Caenorhabditis elegans: one gene and its partner. The protein of the gene in region 1 purifies or fractionates together with the protein of each later gene. This does not show direct contact. Each region holds a gene or a part of one and is shown on either strand. Other genes may lie near its edges.

What was found. Proteins that work in one complex are often made in the same cells at the same time.
Region 2: the proteins of EGAP1.1 (region 1) and snf-1 fractionate together in Caenorhabditis elegans (co-fractionation; one large-scale study listed by BioGRID). This does not show direct contact.

Annotation. Positions count from the first base shown.
Region 1 is NC_003281.10:5,933,222-5,940,308, forward strand, and holds EGAP1.1 (uncharacterized protein), read right to left. Parts: upstream 4,000-7,087; coding exon 3,806-3,999; intron 3,451-3,805; coding exon 3,327-3,450; intron 3,284-3,326; coding exon 3,050-3,283; intron 2,943-3,049; coding exon 2,718-2,942; intron 2,672-2,717; coding exon 2,528-2,671; 3' UTR 2,469-2,527; downstream 1-2,468.
Region 2 is NC_003279.8:4,976,315-4,985,531, forward strand, and holds snf-1 (Sodium: Neurotransmitter symporter Family), read left to right. Parts: upstream 1-3,992; 5' UTR 3,993-4,015; coding exon 4,016-4,184; intron 4,185-4,499; coding exon 4,500-4,634; intron 4,635-4,880; coding exon 4,881-5,142; intron 5,143-5,334; coding exon 5,335-5,706; intron 5,707-5,898; coding exon 5,899-6,127; intron 6,128-6,223; coding exon 6,224-6,461; intron 6,462-6,535; coding exon 6,536-6,837; intron 6,838-7,059; coding exon 7,060-7,206; 3' UTR 7,207-7,645; downstream 7,646-9,217. Other genes in the region: W03G9.10 (YqaE/Pmp3 family membrane protein), read left to right, coding at 7,824-7,904, 8,184-8,411; paf-1 (1-alkyl-2-acetylglycerophosphocholine esterase), read right to left, coding at 8,505-8,660, 8,914-9,217.

The DNA.
Region 1 (7,087 bases):
GCTGGCAATAAATTGAACTCGAGTTAATAGATTTTTTATAAATTTGGCTATTCCAGATCTTAAAAAACGCGCGTTGCTAATTTGAAGGTAATCAGCAATGTAATACACTCCATTTCCCCTTAATTTAATTTTCCTAGCGTACAAATTTGAAATATTGTTTTCGACTTGTTTGAAATTTATGAGAAGTTATATTAAATCATAAATTTATTGAAATCTTCCACAACTGAAACGTTTAAGAACAAAAAAACGAAATTTTCAGGTGAGTTTTTGTTTTTACATTATGATTCCTCCAACAATGATGAAAAAAGATTCCAGGAAAATTGAAGGGAAGCAACAAAATGTGGGCATTTTATAGGAAACTATGATATCTACTACAATTCAAATTTTTATACAAATAATTTGTGATAATGAGTTGTTTGTCTTAGTCATTCGAAATTGCAAACATTATTTACAACCAAAAATGGGAAGTAATCTTGAATTTGATAGAGTTCTGATAAAATTAATAAGAGTATGGTAAAGGTTTCGAGAAATTGGAGTATTGAATCACATATTAGGTAGGGAAACCATTTAAAACCGTTAATATAATGCCAAATGTCATAATATCACTTTTGAGAAAACAAATTTATTTCTAAATTTACAGTCATCGTATGCTGGTGAAGGTAGCATATGTTTTATAACATGACTCTAAGAAACTCACAAGCTACATATTTTGAAGAATATTTTAGTGGGTTATGCAGTCTTTGAAGAACAATTTATAAAGAGAAAGTTAAAGTAACTTCACAATCTAGTTTTAAAAAAATGACACATTCACCAGATGATGCCAAAATTTTGCAACAAAAAAAAACAGAAAACTACAAAAATGACACAAGGAATAACGAAGTGACCTGTGCTTCACATAATGTCTCAATTGTAATTCTAGCGGTTTTGTGATGAGTGTGCTCATCAAACTCATTATCCATCTAAACGATGGGAAAACACTCACTATCTATTTTTTTTTCCTCAATTTAACCTCCTTCTTGCTCTCAGTTACACATTACACGAAATGATGTCTAATGTCTCCTACGACCACATTTTATTTTTCAAAAAAAGAGAATGGTCAGTTGGGATCAAAAAAGAGACGAGAGTGTCAGAAAAAAAGATGAAAGGAACGGAGTGAGATTGAAAGGAAAAGAAGGTAAAAGTATTGTTAGATAGGAGAGGAAAAGCGGAAACCAATTTATGTAAATTTTATTGCATTTTTCAAACGTATTTTCATCTTTTAAAAATGCTGTAAAAAGTCATTATGCATAGAATATGAAGACAATTTTTTCCTAGTACTGCATCATTGTCATCTTATTTGAAACACGTCAAAACATGACTTTCCAAAAATTATTACGTAATAAAGATATTTAACAAGAATTTCCAGTTATCTCGTGTACTAGGTCAAACGGGCTGAAACTATCCGTGGCAAATCAGATTTTTAAAAAAGTCAATTTTGTAATTACTCATGTTATATTACAAAAAAAAACTCATTATGTTTATCGACTTTCCAATATTTTGATATTGATAACGAGTGCTTGGTTACTGTAACTTAGGTTTTTAACGGATTAAACAAAATTTCATGTGCTTTTTGTTTCAGACAATTTTTGAAAGAGGAGAAGCTGAAAAAGGAATAACAAGAACAACAAAACCGTCGCAACAAGTTGCAACTTTTGGTAATTTACCATAGTAGTTTTTCAAACCTACTAGAAAATGGCCAATATGCAAAAAAAACTGTCACATTTTCCATTCATAAAATATTTCGACGTTTTCTCTTCTGAAAAGTCCACCAAAAAATTAATTGAAAATTGCGATGACCATCTTAAGTGGCGAAACTAAACAAATTAGTAGAAATATATATTACTACAACTGAATACTACTACTACGACTAATACCCTTCTACTTTTTCTTGTTACTCTTTTTTTCAAGCAATACGTACACATGAATCAGTTTGCATCTGGCAGGAGAAATTAAAAACGGAAAGAACAGAAACCAGTGTAAACGTACTCGAATACTTTGATGATCAATACAGAAAAGGAAAAATCTCCAATTGGAACAGAAATCTGTGTATTCTGTTCAACGAGCCGTCCTTCTTTTGAAATGGGTTACGAAATACATCTTTCTCTCGAGGGGCGCATAAACTTACATAAAAATAGTCGGGCAATGATGATGGCACATTGAGTTTTTATCGTGGCACCCGGGAATAAAATAGCCAAAGGTTTTATGACAGCTTTTCCGAAAGAAATTAAATATTTTTGAACTTGGCTTTCATCGAGTGACACAATAATAATAATCATTGTGTAATGTCATTGTTCGTGGAACTCTAAAAAAAACTACATATAGCTAGATTCAAGAAATTGTAACTCGAACAACACAGTGAATTTTTTTGTAATTTCTATTTTTGCCGCATCAAAACAAATGTTTTTTTTTTCAATTTGAGTTTCTTCCAATTTCAATGAGTACTTTTATTTTTACATAAAATTGATTGTTAAAAAACAAGTTTCCAATTTTAATTATCAATTGCATTTTTCTGTTTCTTTTCATTTTTTTCTGCCTTTTTAATCCTTATCATTTCTTTGATATACTTTAATGATTCTGCATATTCCGTATTTCTTTGCGTCTCTTCTTCCACACGGTGTTTCAGCTTTTCAATCTGAAAAAATTAATAAATCTAGTTTTTCCCACGACTCTTCTAATACCTCTTCAATCTCAATTGGATCTTGTTTCATAAAGTCTAATTTTGCCTCCATTATCTTTATTTGCTTCTCCAATTTGATAATTTCGATTGCTTTTTCTTGTTCAATTGCCGCGAATTTAACATTTTCGGTTTCAATTTGTACTTTTGAATAAGCGATTTCTTTTTCGAGGCTTTCAGCTTTCAAAGTGTTAGCTTCAAATTCTTCTTCCAATTGAGCAATTTCCTTCTGAAACAGAAAATATACTGGATCAGCTTATTACGATACCCTATACTTATGCCATAAGACAATACGCCAAGCCTTCAAATAGAACTTCTATTAATCTCACAACTTACAGCAAAAACCTTATCGTCGTCTTCCTTTACGCCCACATTTTCTGGCATCTTTGGGTCAAAATTAAACACACTTGAAAATATCTCATAGATCTGAAACATTTCAATATAAATGTTCAAATTTTGAATAACTACAACTTCTTTGAGTTCTGTTTCGATTTCTCCAACAATCTGATCCACACTTCGTTCTTTCGGTGGAGATATTTGTTGATGAATGTCAGCGTAGTATTCGCATTGCTGCAAGAGTTTCACACAGATGACATTTGACAGAAATGAATACCTCAGTAATGAAAGTTCTCACAGTTTCCACTTCTTCTTCAATTTCCTGTTTCAACATATTTTCCCGTTTCTCGTGAGCTTTCACGCGTGCCACTGCCATTTCTAGCATTGCTTGACTTTCTTTTCTAAAGAGACTTTTACACTTTATTAAAAGTAAAATTTTAAAAAAAAACAATTATTTTAGAAAGTGTTTTCTAGAAAAATGTGGAGACGATGGTCTTTTGAATTCGAAGTATATTTTAGTTTTAAACAATTTGATTCAAAAAATAAACCCAATAATTTATTTTTTAATTTTCTTGTTTTTTTAATGTTCCAAATTTGTGTACCTTTAATCTTCCTAAAAATGTAAGTACTTCTTGTCTACACGCCTGACTATTGCCATTTTTTTGAAAAATTAACTCACCCTACTAATAAGTGAAGTACGGTAACTAAATTAACACGTGAAAATAGACGGTAGGCAGGCAAATAGTAATTCCCTACCTAATCTTTTCAATATAAGCCTTTCTCTGAAGCTGTCGATGCTCAGAAATCAGATCAAACTCATTTCGTGTTGTCCATTTTTCTTCTTTCATTTCTCGTGATCTTGCTCGCTCCTCTTGAACTTTTTTCGCGTGTTCGCGTGCCAGCCGACGCTTCTCTCGCAGCTTTTCATAATATTTCGTTCGATTGGGCATTTTTATTGAAAAGAGATGATGAAGGGGACTTGCGAAATTTTGTTGGATTTAGGAAGGAAATGAAAAACTAAATTCACGATTTTTAGGTCACGGGTGACTGGGCTTTTTGAGCGGAAATTGGTTTTTCGTATATTTTTCTGCACACTTTTGTGTGTATGAGTGTTTTGGAGATTGTAATGCTTTTTAGATAATGTTAAAAAACAAGAATGGTCCTAAATTTTTCGACGTTGCAAAACGGGTTTTTCAAAAACGCAATTGAATATATAACTGTAATTCATGCGCTTTTCTCAGCTGAACACTATTTTAAAGTTGGAATAGCGACAGTTGGAATATTGTCAAAATATACTCATAATGAATTTAAAAATTACTATGTAGATATATGGACTCTAATGTGTTTTAGGGTTTTTCAAAATTTTCAGACTTTTTTTTTTGGCAGATTGCCAATTTTTTTTGGTAAAACGTGGACACTTGGAGATTCATGTAGCATTTTTGTATATTCAAAGTTCTACAATTTTCAGACACGAAAATATTTTTGAACAAGTTCCGAAGTTGTAATAGGCGCTACTAAAGACGTATAAACTTTTGTGTTTGGTCTTGCAATGAATGAAGTTTCTTGTTCGCAGAATAAAAAGTATACAATCTTCGCTGTAAGATCCAGATCTTTTTTTAGGTCACATTGGAAAGTTGAAAATATTGCCAAATCGTGGCAAGCAAAAAATTGCAACATGCTAATATCTTTCTAACCCTATAAACATCCCTTCAATCCCCTATTTTTCAAAACCCCACACTTATAATACCTTTTCCCTTCAACCCTTACCCGTTCCATCACTTTCCTCCCTATTTGCATCTTTCTTCTCTCACATGACCCGTGATGCTTTCTCCAAACCAGTCCCCACCATCCATTTCCGTGCTTGCATCATCATCATCATAGTCGTCAATTTTTCAAGATTGTATCTGTCTCCCTCTCGTTTCCCCACAGCCGACTTAACAAACACCTCTTTTCCGCACTTTCCGCACCAAAAACATGTTTGCGTCTCTCCGTGTTTTCTACCGAGATAGCCACACGTCAAGTAAGCGCCAGTGATCTCTCAATTGATAATACTTTTTTAAAAGGTTTCTCAGTTAACTGAACAATTGTGAGGAAGATACAAATAGTTATGACGTGGCTTAAAAAGAGAAAAATGATGATGAAATAAATCATCACTATTCATTGCTATTCGTTAGAATGCAGGATATAAATCACGATTTTCGTTTTCGAACACAACTTTAAACTTCAATTTTTCCTTTGTTTCTCTGAAAACTTTGCAGTCATTTTCAAGCTTCCACAGAACTTTACAAAAAAACTAGATTTTCTCCAACGTGGCGATATTCCCGAGTTTCGAGAAGAATCCAGCTTGTCAATGCTGTATAAAACCTTTACTTTTCTATCGTTTCCATTATTTCTTTCACTGCACCTGTTACTGCCAGGTGCTTTATTTCCGCCTATCGTCTATTTTGTTTTCCTCCTACCAAATTTGACAACCCTCCGCAAACACTCATTCCTATTTTAGCCCGGTGAAATTTCGATATGGAGAAAAACAAAAACAAGTGTGAGCTTCCACTTCGGAATAATTTCCGGAGAATGAGAATTGTACAATTTTCTCCTATAAGACCATACAATAAAATTTTATCAGAAACATGAAGCTTTGGTCATTATCATTTTTTGTTACCCTTGAAATTTGATCACAAGGCTTTAATTTTTCATGAGACGTCAATTTTTTCTGATGATAAATAACATAGTTCAAAGTATTGCGTAATGTTTCAATTTTAACATGACACATAATAAATCAGAAACTCGAAAAACGTATTTAAATATAGATTTTGTCGGGAAGTTTAATGTGCAACTGTCTCGATATCTTTCTTTGAAAACATTTAATTTTTATTATATTTTCCAAACTGGATTCGAGAATTCTCGTATTCTTAAACAAATTTACAATGAAAATATAAATAATTAATTTAAAGGAACATGTTCTGCAATCCTCCCTGGGTCCCGCCACGAAACCGCCACGCACTACCATGAAAGGCGCGTTCGCATTCGTTCTGCCGCTCGTTTCTGTTTTCCAGATCTTTCCATCATTTTCTTCATTCATTCGCGCTCTCTCATTATCTTGAGTTGCCGGCTATTTTCGCTGCTCTCTGCTTTTTCGTATCGCTTTTTCACTCTTTCCAGCATTCAGAAAATTGCATTATTTCGGTTTTCATTTAAAAAACTCATAGCAAAGTATTTTGTTATTGATTTCGCAATACTTTCGAAAAGTATCGGAAAATTTTAATGTTTAGTCTGTGCGTTCCTCATTCCCTGTTCTCGTTGTACTCTTAACTGATGTTTTTAAATTTAGTTTTCCGGGGCTCTCTTGAAAAGACCCAATAGTCGTATTGAACCTTCGCCTGATCGCCACTAGCTCATCTTTTAGTCTTATGACGGGCTCACATGATTCTCCCCAGTGTCCTCCCGTTTTCTCACTGCACTTGTTTTGTCGTTCGTTCATCAGTACAAAGTACAAGCACTTTCGCGTCTGTCTGAAAATTGGTTCGGGTGCCGTTAGGACATTATTCATACTTTCCTGCTAGTCGCAGATTATAAAAAAATGTCCTTGACCGTCTGCTCTTTCTTATGTTCTCCCTATATATGCGTCAAACGAACAACTGACCCTGTTCACTTTTCCTATTCTTCGTTTCATCATTTTCTGTAACAAAAATGGAAACAATACTTTACACAGACGTCACTATTATTCAGGCCTATGATTTCTCTATCGTTTAGTTAAAGATGAAAAGAAACTGGTCGACCCAGTTGCATGACGAGAAAAAAGAACACCCCGTTCGATTTTCGTTGTATTCCCTCTGCACACATTGTCCCCTTCTTCCTCATCATTTCTTTCCCTACACAGCACTCTAGAATGTTCTTCTTGTGCAGAAAGAGTGCCGTTTGAGTCAGCGACCCCCCCCCCCCCCCTCCTTTCTCTTGCTCTTCCTCACTGGTTCTCGTAATAGGCGACTTCTTGCTAACAGAAAGTGAGCATAGCAACATTTTTTACTTTGTGGCCTTCAA
Region 2 (9,217 bases), on another chromosome or scaffold:
TTACTTAATTATGCCTCCTCACTTCCCATTCCACTCGACTTGTATTCATTCTTGTGCTCCCCGAGCTCCGGAAGGTCGACGACTGGTCCAATTATGTGCCAACTCCTCTCTGTCGTTTCTCGCGCATCTCATCGTCTCATCACCAATTTATTGTCGGATGCAGTAGCAGTTTGCCTATGTGTGTGAATGTGTGTACGTGTGTCACTTTCAATTTATGGCAAATATCGTGATCATCGCGGTCCGACGTTGACAAGTAATGTCGTTCTTCATGCGTTGCCAAAATCTTTTTTCCCCAACATTTCTCTCAAAAATCATTGTTAGAGGATGCGCGGAATGAATGAGTACTCATGCTCCCCCAATTGAAATAAAAATGAGCGACGCTTACGGATTCAAGTGAGAGCGTTTAATTGATTTTTTTGTGTTTCTGATGCATCTTGTTAATGTAAATATCTAGATCGTCCCTCGAGTGTGAAAATCGATCAACTATGGATAATTAGATAATCTAGAATAGCTAGAATGGTTTATAAAGTGCTATAGGAATTGGAAAGAGTTTATAGCGAACTACCATCATAAACTATCGAATTAGGTCAATTTCGGGTGGTTCTAAAACTTGAAAACTCGTTCTATTTTTGATATTCTAGCATTGCCTAAACTATCTACATTTCCAACTTTTATAGTTTTATGGAAATTTTGAAAATGAAACTAGGAACGTTGAAAAAGTTTTAAAAAAACTTTGACCAATCAGCGAATCGCTCCTCCCACTTTCGGACCAATCAGAGCTCGAAGACGTTGATTGGTTTGAAAATAAGCGTGCTTTTCATTTTGCAGGTGTTTCAAATTGGGCCAAAATAATGCCCAAATTTTCACTCGTTCTCGATATTTTTTATAGTTTTATGATGTAGTAATGCGGATTTTCAGACTATTTTGGGCACTTCAGAGTCCCATTCACACTACTCCACCTTTAATCTATTTATCCATATCCTATTACAAGGTGTTCAAAATCGAGGAAGTCCCTGAGAGTTCTTGCCGGAAAAAATCCGCGGCCAACACATAAAACATAGAAAAAGTGTCAGAACATGAATTTTGTCATGCTCATCATCTTAGTTTTCAATGTTCTGTTTACTTCTGCCGACCTGGCGTCCACTTGAAACAGGCGCCTCCCCACCTCCTCTGCGCGCACATAGCTTTTCTCTTCTACCCGCGTACAGTTGTTTTGTTTGTCGGCGAGCTCAGTCTCCTCTATGTTGCTCTCTGCATGTCCTTTCATATCTGGCAGACGAGAACACATACAATATGGGCGGGGAGTTTGATGCGCAATGTGACGACAGTTGTAAATTTATTGCAATCATTTTATTGGTTGGTAGTTGAAATGTCTTTTTACCCGGTTCCTATCCAATTTCTTCTTTTCTCTCATAGTTTCCCGGAAATGGCAATTTATTGTTCGCAGTCTCCAAAAAAGAGAACAGTTTTCATCACAAACACTTTGTTCAGTACTTTGCAACGTCCGTTCCAATCATATTTGCACTTATTTAGTCTATTTGTGTTGGTTTTCGCACGTTTCGACGCGACGTGCTTTTCGTTTTGCATCCATCCATTTTCGCCATTGGAATTGCGGAAATTGAGTGTCCCGGCCTTGACTATACTTTTTTTTGAAATATTGTTGGTTTTTTCTGTCTTCCGAATGATGTATATTTGAATATTTACTCGTATCTTTTTTTCCTTTTTTTTCTTCGCTCTAGCGAGGTCATGTTTTATCTTTCAAAGTCGGTCGGTTTTGTAAATTGAAACCAGTCAGTGATTAGAACAAATCATTTGTCAAGACATATCGTCTTTTGATCTGTTGAAAGAAATCCTTAAATTTTAAAATGTCATGTTTAAAAATATCTAAAAGAATCCTAAACATCAACATGTAATAACAGCTGTGTTCTGCAAAAAAGTTGCTTTCACGAAAATTTCAAAGTGCTCAGACACTTGTTGCTTTTCCCGCTGTAATTAATGGTGAGCAACAAACAACATCAAAGTTCGCGAAAGTTGTGGAAAAAGTTCGCGACGCCCGAATAATTTTTCTACCGATCGGTTTTTATGAATTTTGAGAAACTCGCAATGAAAAATCTGGTTTTAGTGGGTCTAAAATTTGTACGCAGAATATACAGTGCGTACAAGTTCTATACGCCACCCCCTAAATTTATGCCTGTGGCCACGTCTGTGCTTTTTAAAAAATTTCTGTTGATGCCATTCGATTCCAAATCTTAAAAAACCTATAGGCCCAAATTTTCATGACCTTACCTCAATAATTAAAAAAATTAGGTCAATAAATCGAAAAATTGGCCGTACAACTTCTATACGCCACCCTCGATTTTTTGATGATTTTTCAAAAATTTACAATTTTTGAGAAGAAGTTGAACAGCACATTAATAAATTTGAGTGAATTTCGGTGCACAGTAGCTTTTCCTACAACCATAGAACAATTTTGTCCCAATTCGTAGATCCATGGAGTGCCAATGGCACCAGAGGGCCTGAAACGTGGATTTCTGCTCCCACGTAGATATAACCTCAAAAGTTTGAGGATATGTTCTAGATACTATTCAAACATTTCATGCAAATTTTGGCATAAATTGGACTGTTCCTCGTCTCGATAGAAACACATTCATGTAAGGTCTAGCCACTTTTTGGCTACTGGAATGCTTAGAGGCCGAAATCACGGCGCCCTTGAGCGCTTGATGATAGTAACCTTGATTGTTGCGTTCAAGAACAATACTACGAAACCTGCTGTAGCTCAATCGCAAAAATGCATCCCCACTGGATTCATGTGCACCGTGATTTCGGCCTCTAAGCATGCCAGTAGCCAAAAAGTGGCTAGACCTTACTGAAATGTTTTACTATCAGCACGAAGAACCGCCCAAATCAGACCAAAATTTACCTGAGATGTTGGAATAGTGTCTAGAACATATCCCCACACTTTCGAGGTTATATCTCACGTGGGAGCCATAATCCACGTTACAGGCTCTTTGGCGCTCCACAGTAAATCGGGTTGGGACAAAAATGTTTTGTGGTCGTAGGAAAAGTTACTCTTTGCTGTTATTCAATCAAATTTATAAATATTCTCTTCAACTACCTCTTTAAAATCAAAAGTTTTGAAGAAATCGTCAAAAAATTGAGGGTGGCGTATAGAAGTTGTACGGCCAATTTTTCGGTTTATTGACCTAATTTATTTAGTTTTTGAGGTACGGTCATGAAAATTCAGGCTCATAGGTTTTTTAGGATTTGGAATCAAATGGCATCAGCAGAATTCTTCTAAAAAATTCAGACGTGCCCACATGCATAAATTTAGGGGGTGGCATATAGAACTTGTACGCACTGTATTCATTTCTCTTATTCGAAATATTTTTATGAAATGTTCATAATATTTAATTGTTTAACAAAAATTTAATTGGTGGTACGCTAATAATCAAATTTTCTAAAATTTTTACTATTTAAACTAACTGCCAAAGTTTCTAAACCTGTAGCCTTTCCAAATTTAAAAAAAACCATTAAGTTGAAAATATTATTTTTGCACATGCTCTTCATCAGAAAGTTCCCATCTACAAAGTCGTGATTTTTTGTTACTCAATTATAAAGTTGCCAAATAACCTATAGGCTACTGTTTTTTTTTTCTAAAAAAGAGTATTGACACTTCAATGTTTACAATATCTTTTTGTCTAAATCTCTGTTCTCTTCCAACTCTCCTCCCAAATACGTATTTCAAGTATACATTCCTGCAGCCTATCGTGTGTTTTTCTTTTTCCCCCACAAATTGCCACTTCAGCTTTTGTTTCAATTTAATCAAAACACACTATTTCTCTAATCCTCTCAATATTTTTCCTCTACGCTTGTTATCACTCCGTTCTCTTCCTCACCACCCTTTTCTTCCTTCTCTTTCTCTTTTCTCCATGTTTTTGTGTTGGCTTCGTCGTAATTTCTCCATCGCCAATTACTAATTCCTCATTCTACAGGTAGAGCCAAGTTTCGAGCCGCGATGTGGTTCGAGGAGAGCAGCTGGTCGAATCTTCGGCTTACTGATCTCGTTGAGGAATGGAGGGATTTGTGGCCGTCAAAAATCGAATTCATTGTGTCAGCAATGGCATATTTGTTCGCAATGACAAACTTCCTTAACTTGCCAAAATTGATACTCGAAAATGGAGGAGGTATGATTTCGGATTTTTTTTTGGTCTCTTTTTATGATATCCTCATCAGGGCTGTCACCAAATATCTTCAACAAAAAATATTGTTTGGATTTTGGACAAACAAACAACCACATTTTCAGAAAGTTTTTTACCTGGAAATTTACCAAAGCTTGTACTGAAAATTTTGAAAAATCTGATAAATTTATATGGCTCTATGAATTTTTTGAGTTCACTTCGTTCAATAAATTTAGTTTTTTTTTTAATTTTCAAAGCTCGAAATATTTTTTAAAAAATTGAAAAATTAATTTGCCATTTTATTAAATAAATTCTTTTCAGTAGCATTTGCGGCTGCATATGCAATAGTCGTTGGGGTTCTATGTATGCCAACAATGGTTATGGAGATGTCAATTGGACAAGTGACCGGACGAGCGCCTGTTCTTGCTTTTTATCATCTGTTTCCCGTCTTCCGAGGTTCGTTTAGTCTCCCTCTGCCCGTTTACAACATTTCACTTACAAATTTTATGACTGAGAAAATGGCAGAAGGCAAGGGGAAAAATATTGAAGTTTCGAAAGAACATGTGCAAATGCCAAGGAGTTGAGATGGGGATGTAACGGGTTTTCTAGGATTAAAGTTTGAAAAAAATCTGATTTTAAATTTGAACACAAATAAACCATATAAATACATTTTAGCTATAGCTAATCGAAAGACCTTTTCAGGAATCGGAGTTTCTCAAATTCTGTTCACAATGGTCGTACTTGCCTGTATGACAAAGTTCCTCTCAACTCTATGCCTCTTCCTCTACTACTATTTTTGGACATTCCATGCTGGTCGAAGTGGTCTCCCATGGCTCAACTGCAAGGCTTTCCCAGAATTTGTCTCCCAACCGTGTCGAGAAGCTGGATCAATCACGAATATTACTCAGATCAACAACAGATTGAACACGATTCAAGCGGAAAGTTCGATGATGCAGTTTCTAACGTAAGTGAGACAGTTTTGAAGTGTAAAATTTGGTAAAACGACTACAAATTGGTAGAAGATTCTTGGGCATTTTTTTTCCATTTTTTGCAGTTTTTAATAGTATTGAATCTAGATAGATGCCCGAAAATTAGTATTTCCTAGGTATTTTTCTGATTTTTGAAAAAAAATTTAAAATTATATCTCTAATTTCAGAACTTTGGAAAGACCAAGCGAATCGATTGCCGATTTCAAAGATTTTCAATATCCAATTTTAATTGCACAAGGAGCCATTTGGATTGCCATCTTTGTGGCAATTTGCTTTGGAGTTCGATTCGTTGGAAAGACTGTTGCATTTGTTCTGATGCTTGCATTCTCGTCTCTTCTTGTGTTCTTCCTTCGTTCAGCTACACTCGGAGGTGTCACAGAGATTCTTGAAATCTACTGGAAGGCTACTGACTGGGAAAAGCTTGCCGACTATCAAGTTTGGAGACTCGCTATTGAGCAGGCGATTCTGGGAACTGGAATTGGATATGGTGCATTTATTACAATGAGCAGTTATATGAAGAGGAGTAATAATCTTGTTTGGTTAGTTTTTTTTTATTTTTGAAAAATGGCAAAAGTGAAAAATTGCCAGTATTTATATATACTTTAAAGTACTTTTTCGATGATATTTATCAAAAATCACTAACATCAAAGTTTTCAGTTTTTTAAACAAAAATATCTTAAATATTTAGAAGTATTGAAGCTTTCTAATTTCAAAATCATTCAATTTTTCAGTGATTCGATCTTCCTGTCAGTGTGGCATCTCATCATCTCATTTGTGCAGACAATGTCTATCATTTGTATCGTCGGTTATTTGAGCATGAAACTTGGAATCCACCCAACTGAACTATTGGAGACTGGTGAAGATCAAATGTGGTACATGTTGGCGTACGTGTCGTATCTACCGAAACTCTGGTCAGGGGTTCTGCTTACCATCTGCATTTGCACAATGTTTTCAGTCATTGTAAGTTCAGTATTTGATCAAACTATAGCCAGTTGTTTTTGCACATTTAATTATTCTATATGCTGGATATCCACGGTTCATTTATTAAATTTTCAGACCATCTTGGCACTTTCGGTACTATCCACATTTGAGGATGCTTTTGGCGAGAATTGGTCCAAGTGCTGTCGTCGATTCTTCCTCGCTTTATTCGTTTGCCTATTCTGCTTCGGATTGACTGTATACTTTGCAACAAACGCGGGTCGTCATGCTTATGAACTTGCTACTAGAAGCATCAAATACTGTACAATATATTTCATACTGACAGCTGAACTTTTTGCGACAGCTTGGTTCTATTGTGAGTTGCTTTGAAATTAAAATTATAAATATGTAAAATTTGGAAACATTCTCAAGAAAATAAATTTATTCCAGGTGCTCACAAACTCGGAAAAGATCTTCACAACATGATGAGATCAAGATGCTGCTCCTGTTTCGGACACTTCTTCCTCTACTTCACCTACTTACTGCCAATATTACCAGCGGGTGTTGCATTCCTCAATGCACTGGACTACAAATTCTCCTCATTCTCTGCTCCAATTCACGAGTGGAAATATTCGGAATATGTTGGAATCGCCATCGCAATGGTTCCACTGATACCAATTCCGTTGTATTTCTTCATGACGATTCTGTGCGCATGCTGTTGCAAAGGGAAGGATCATGCCAAGACTTGCAAGGTAATTTTTTAATGTCAGGGGTTGTGTAGTATACTTTGGCAAAAATATTTACCAATACGTTTTCCATGAAGTTCTTAAAATGATCATTTAATCGAAGTTGAGGCTTAGAAAACCCCACATTCCTAAGCCTAATATGTGCAAAAAGGGTCATGTAAAATTTGAAATTGCTGCACAAGTACCTCAACAATCATAATAATTATAGCGAAATATGTTTTTTTTCAGAGAATTCGAACAGTATTCGCTGCACGACTTCAGAACCACCACCATCGAGACGAAAAAGCGCAGCCGATTCCCCGATACACGTCGAATGCTCCAGGCTATTTATTACTTCCACAGGCTCCACTCGCCGAGCCAGAGATTTACGCGTAAACTTCTGCCAATGCAATTTCTCATTATCACCGATCTTCTTCTCTGCGATGATTTCCAATCGATCTCGCTGCGAACACTGACAGTCAATTATTTTTTCAATCTACCACCTCTTCTATTTTATACAACGAACTACTCCACTAGCTGCTAGAAATTTGAATCTTGTGCATATCCACTCGGTTTGCCGCCTTTTCTCTTTCCTGTTAATCCGAACTTGTTTCATTTCTTTTCTGTTTCGTTTGTATCTTCGTATCCTTCTGCTCTTTCCTGCCTTATGTCCCTGTCTGTCATCATAATCTTGAATATGTTTGCTTGAATCAAACTATTTACCATCATTCTTCCTAATTATGTGAAATTTTGTGAATATCTACCGGTGCTCCTCGCAGTTCCTTTTCTTCTTCTTCTCTTTGTTTTATACAGCTAATAAATATTTTTAAATTGGGTGCAGAAACTTTTATTTCGTTAAAAATCTCCTTAAAAATAAAGTAACACAATTTTGAAGTTAGTCGAACAAAACAAACAAAGCTACTCGAGTTTGGCAAACAGTGAAAATAAAAGATCGAAATTTGAACATTGGCATTTTTCTATCCATTTTCATTTCAATCTACAAATTAATAATAATGAGCCAAAATATTCCTGAAACTGTGGAAAAAACTGACACCGATTTGCTGATTATGGCCTTGCTGCTTATTGTTTTTCCGGTGAGTAGTTCAATAAATAGATAACGAAACATTTTTAAAGATACGCTTCTGGGTCTCGTCAAGACTTAAAGATAATATATAGTATACTAAATCCGAAAAAATGTGTCGGTTCAACGAGCTTGTGTGCTCTAGTTTTTAGTTTTTCATAGTTAACAACCCGATTTTTTTTGAAACATCAATTGGTCCAATTGTAAATATTCCAGCCAAAAACTTTAAGTTAAAACTTTAATTATTTATCCCTAGACTTCCAAACACATTTCCCGATTTTCAACATTTCAGCCACTTGGAGTTCTTCTAAAAAGCAATGGATTCACCCCTCCAGTCTTCATCTCATTTTTCCTCTACTTTCTATTCATACTTCCTTCCTATATTTTCTCAGTTTGGTATTGTTTTGTTCAACAACGAAAGGACAGTATACTCCCGCTTAGTTCCAATGATTTTCACAATAATTTAGCATTAAACAGTATTTCTGCAAGTGTCTCTCATAAGGATATCCAAGTTTATTGATGTTTTGAATAATAAGTTATTTCATGAAATTTTATTTACTTCATTGAAAATCTGACGTTCAGTGTTGATCGATTAATAGCTCATTTCTGGAACTCACACAATGAGTTTCACCCGACCGTAAATCTCATTAGTGATGAATGTAGTGTACTTTTCATCTTTCAACTTCTGAACACCATCTTTCCCATCTTTCAAAAATGACAATGTGAGTTCAATTGCAGATTGCATACAGAGATATGGCTCAGTAGGTCCCTGAAAATAAAATACGCTATTTAATAATCGAAAAATCAAGAGATTTATCTCTTAACTTTAAAAAAATTATTTGTAATCAAATTTAAATCACACTGGCTACACCTCCAATCCTCTCGCGGATTGGTGGGTTCTCGTCTAATTGAGTGGTCACATGAAATTTATGTCAGTTTTGAGTCGAAAAAATTTTACTCTCTAATTTCTAACTTTTTGATATGTATTTTAGTCTATAACTTCTCAAATAAAAATCAATTACATGAACTCCGAACTGCTTGGCGAGCCAATTTGGAAAAACAAATGGGAAATCGGTAAAACTCTGATGAACAGCTCCACTTAAAGTCAAGAGAATGTTTCCTTCGTTATTTGGAAGAATTTTCCTCATAACTTCCAAATTCTCATTCCACTGCCAATCTCCAACATTTAGGAACATTATCGGCTGTTTTGCCTGCTCCTGTTGATTTTGATCCAATGGATACATCCATCCATCCAATACAATTGCTTTTTGGAAATCCGAGGAAGAAGAGGCAATGCTAGTTGCACCTCCAAAAGAGTGACCAATA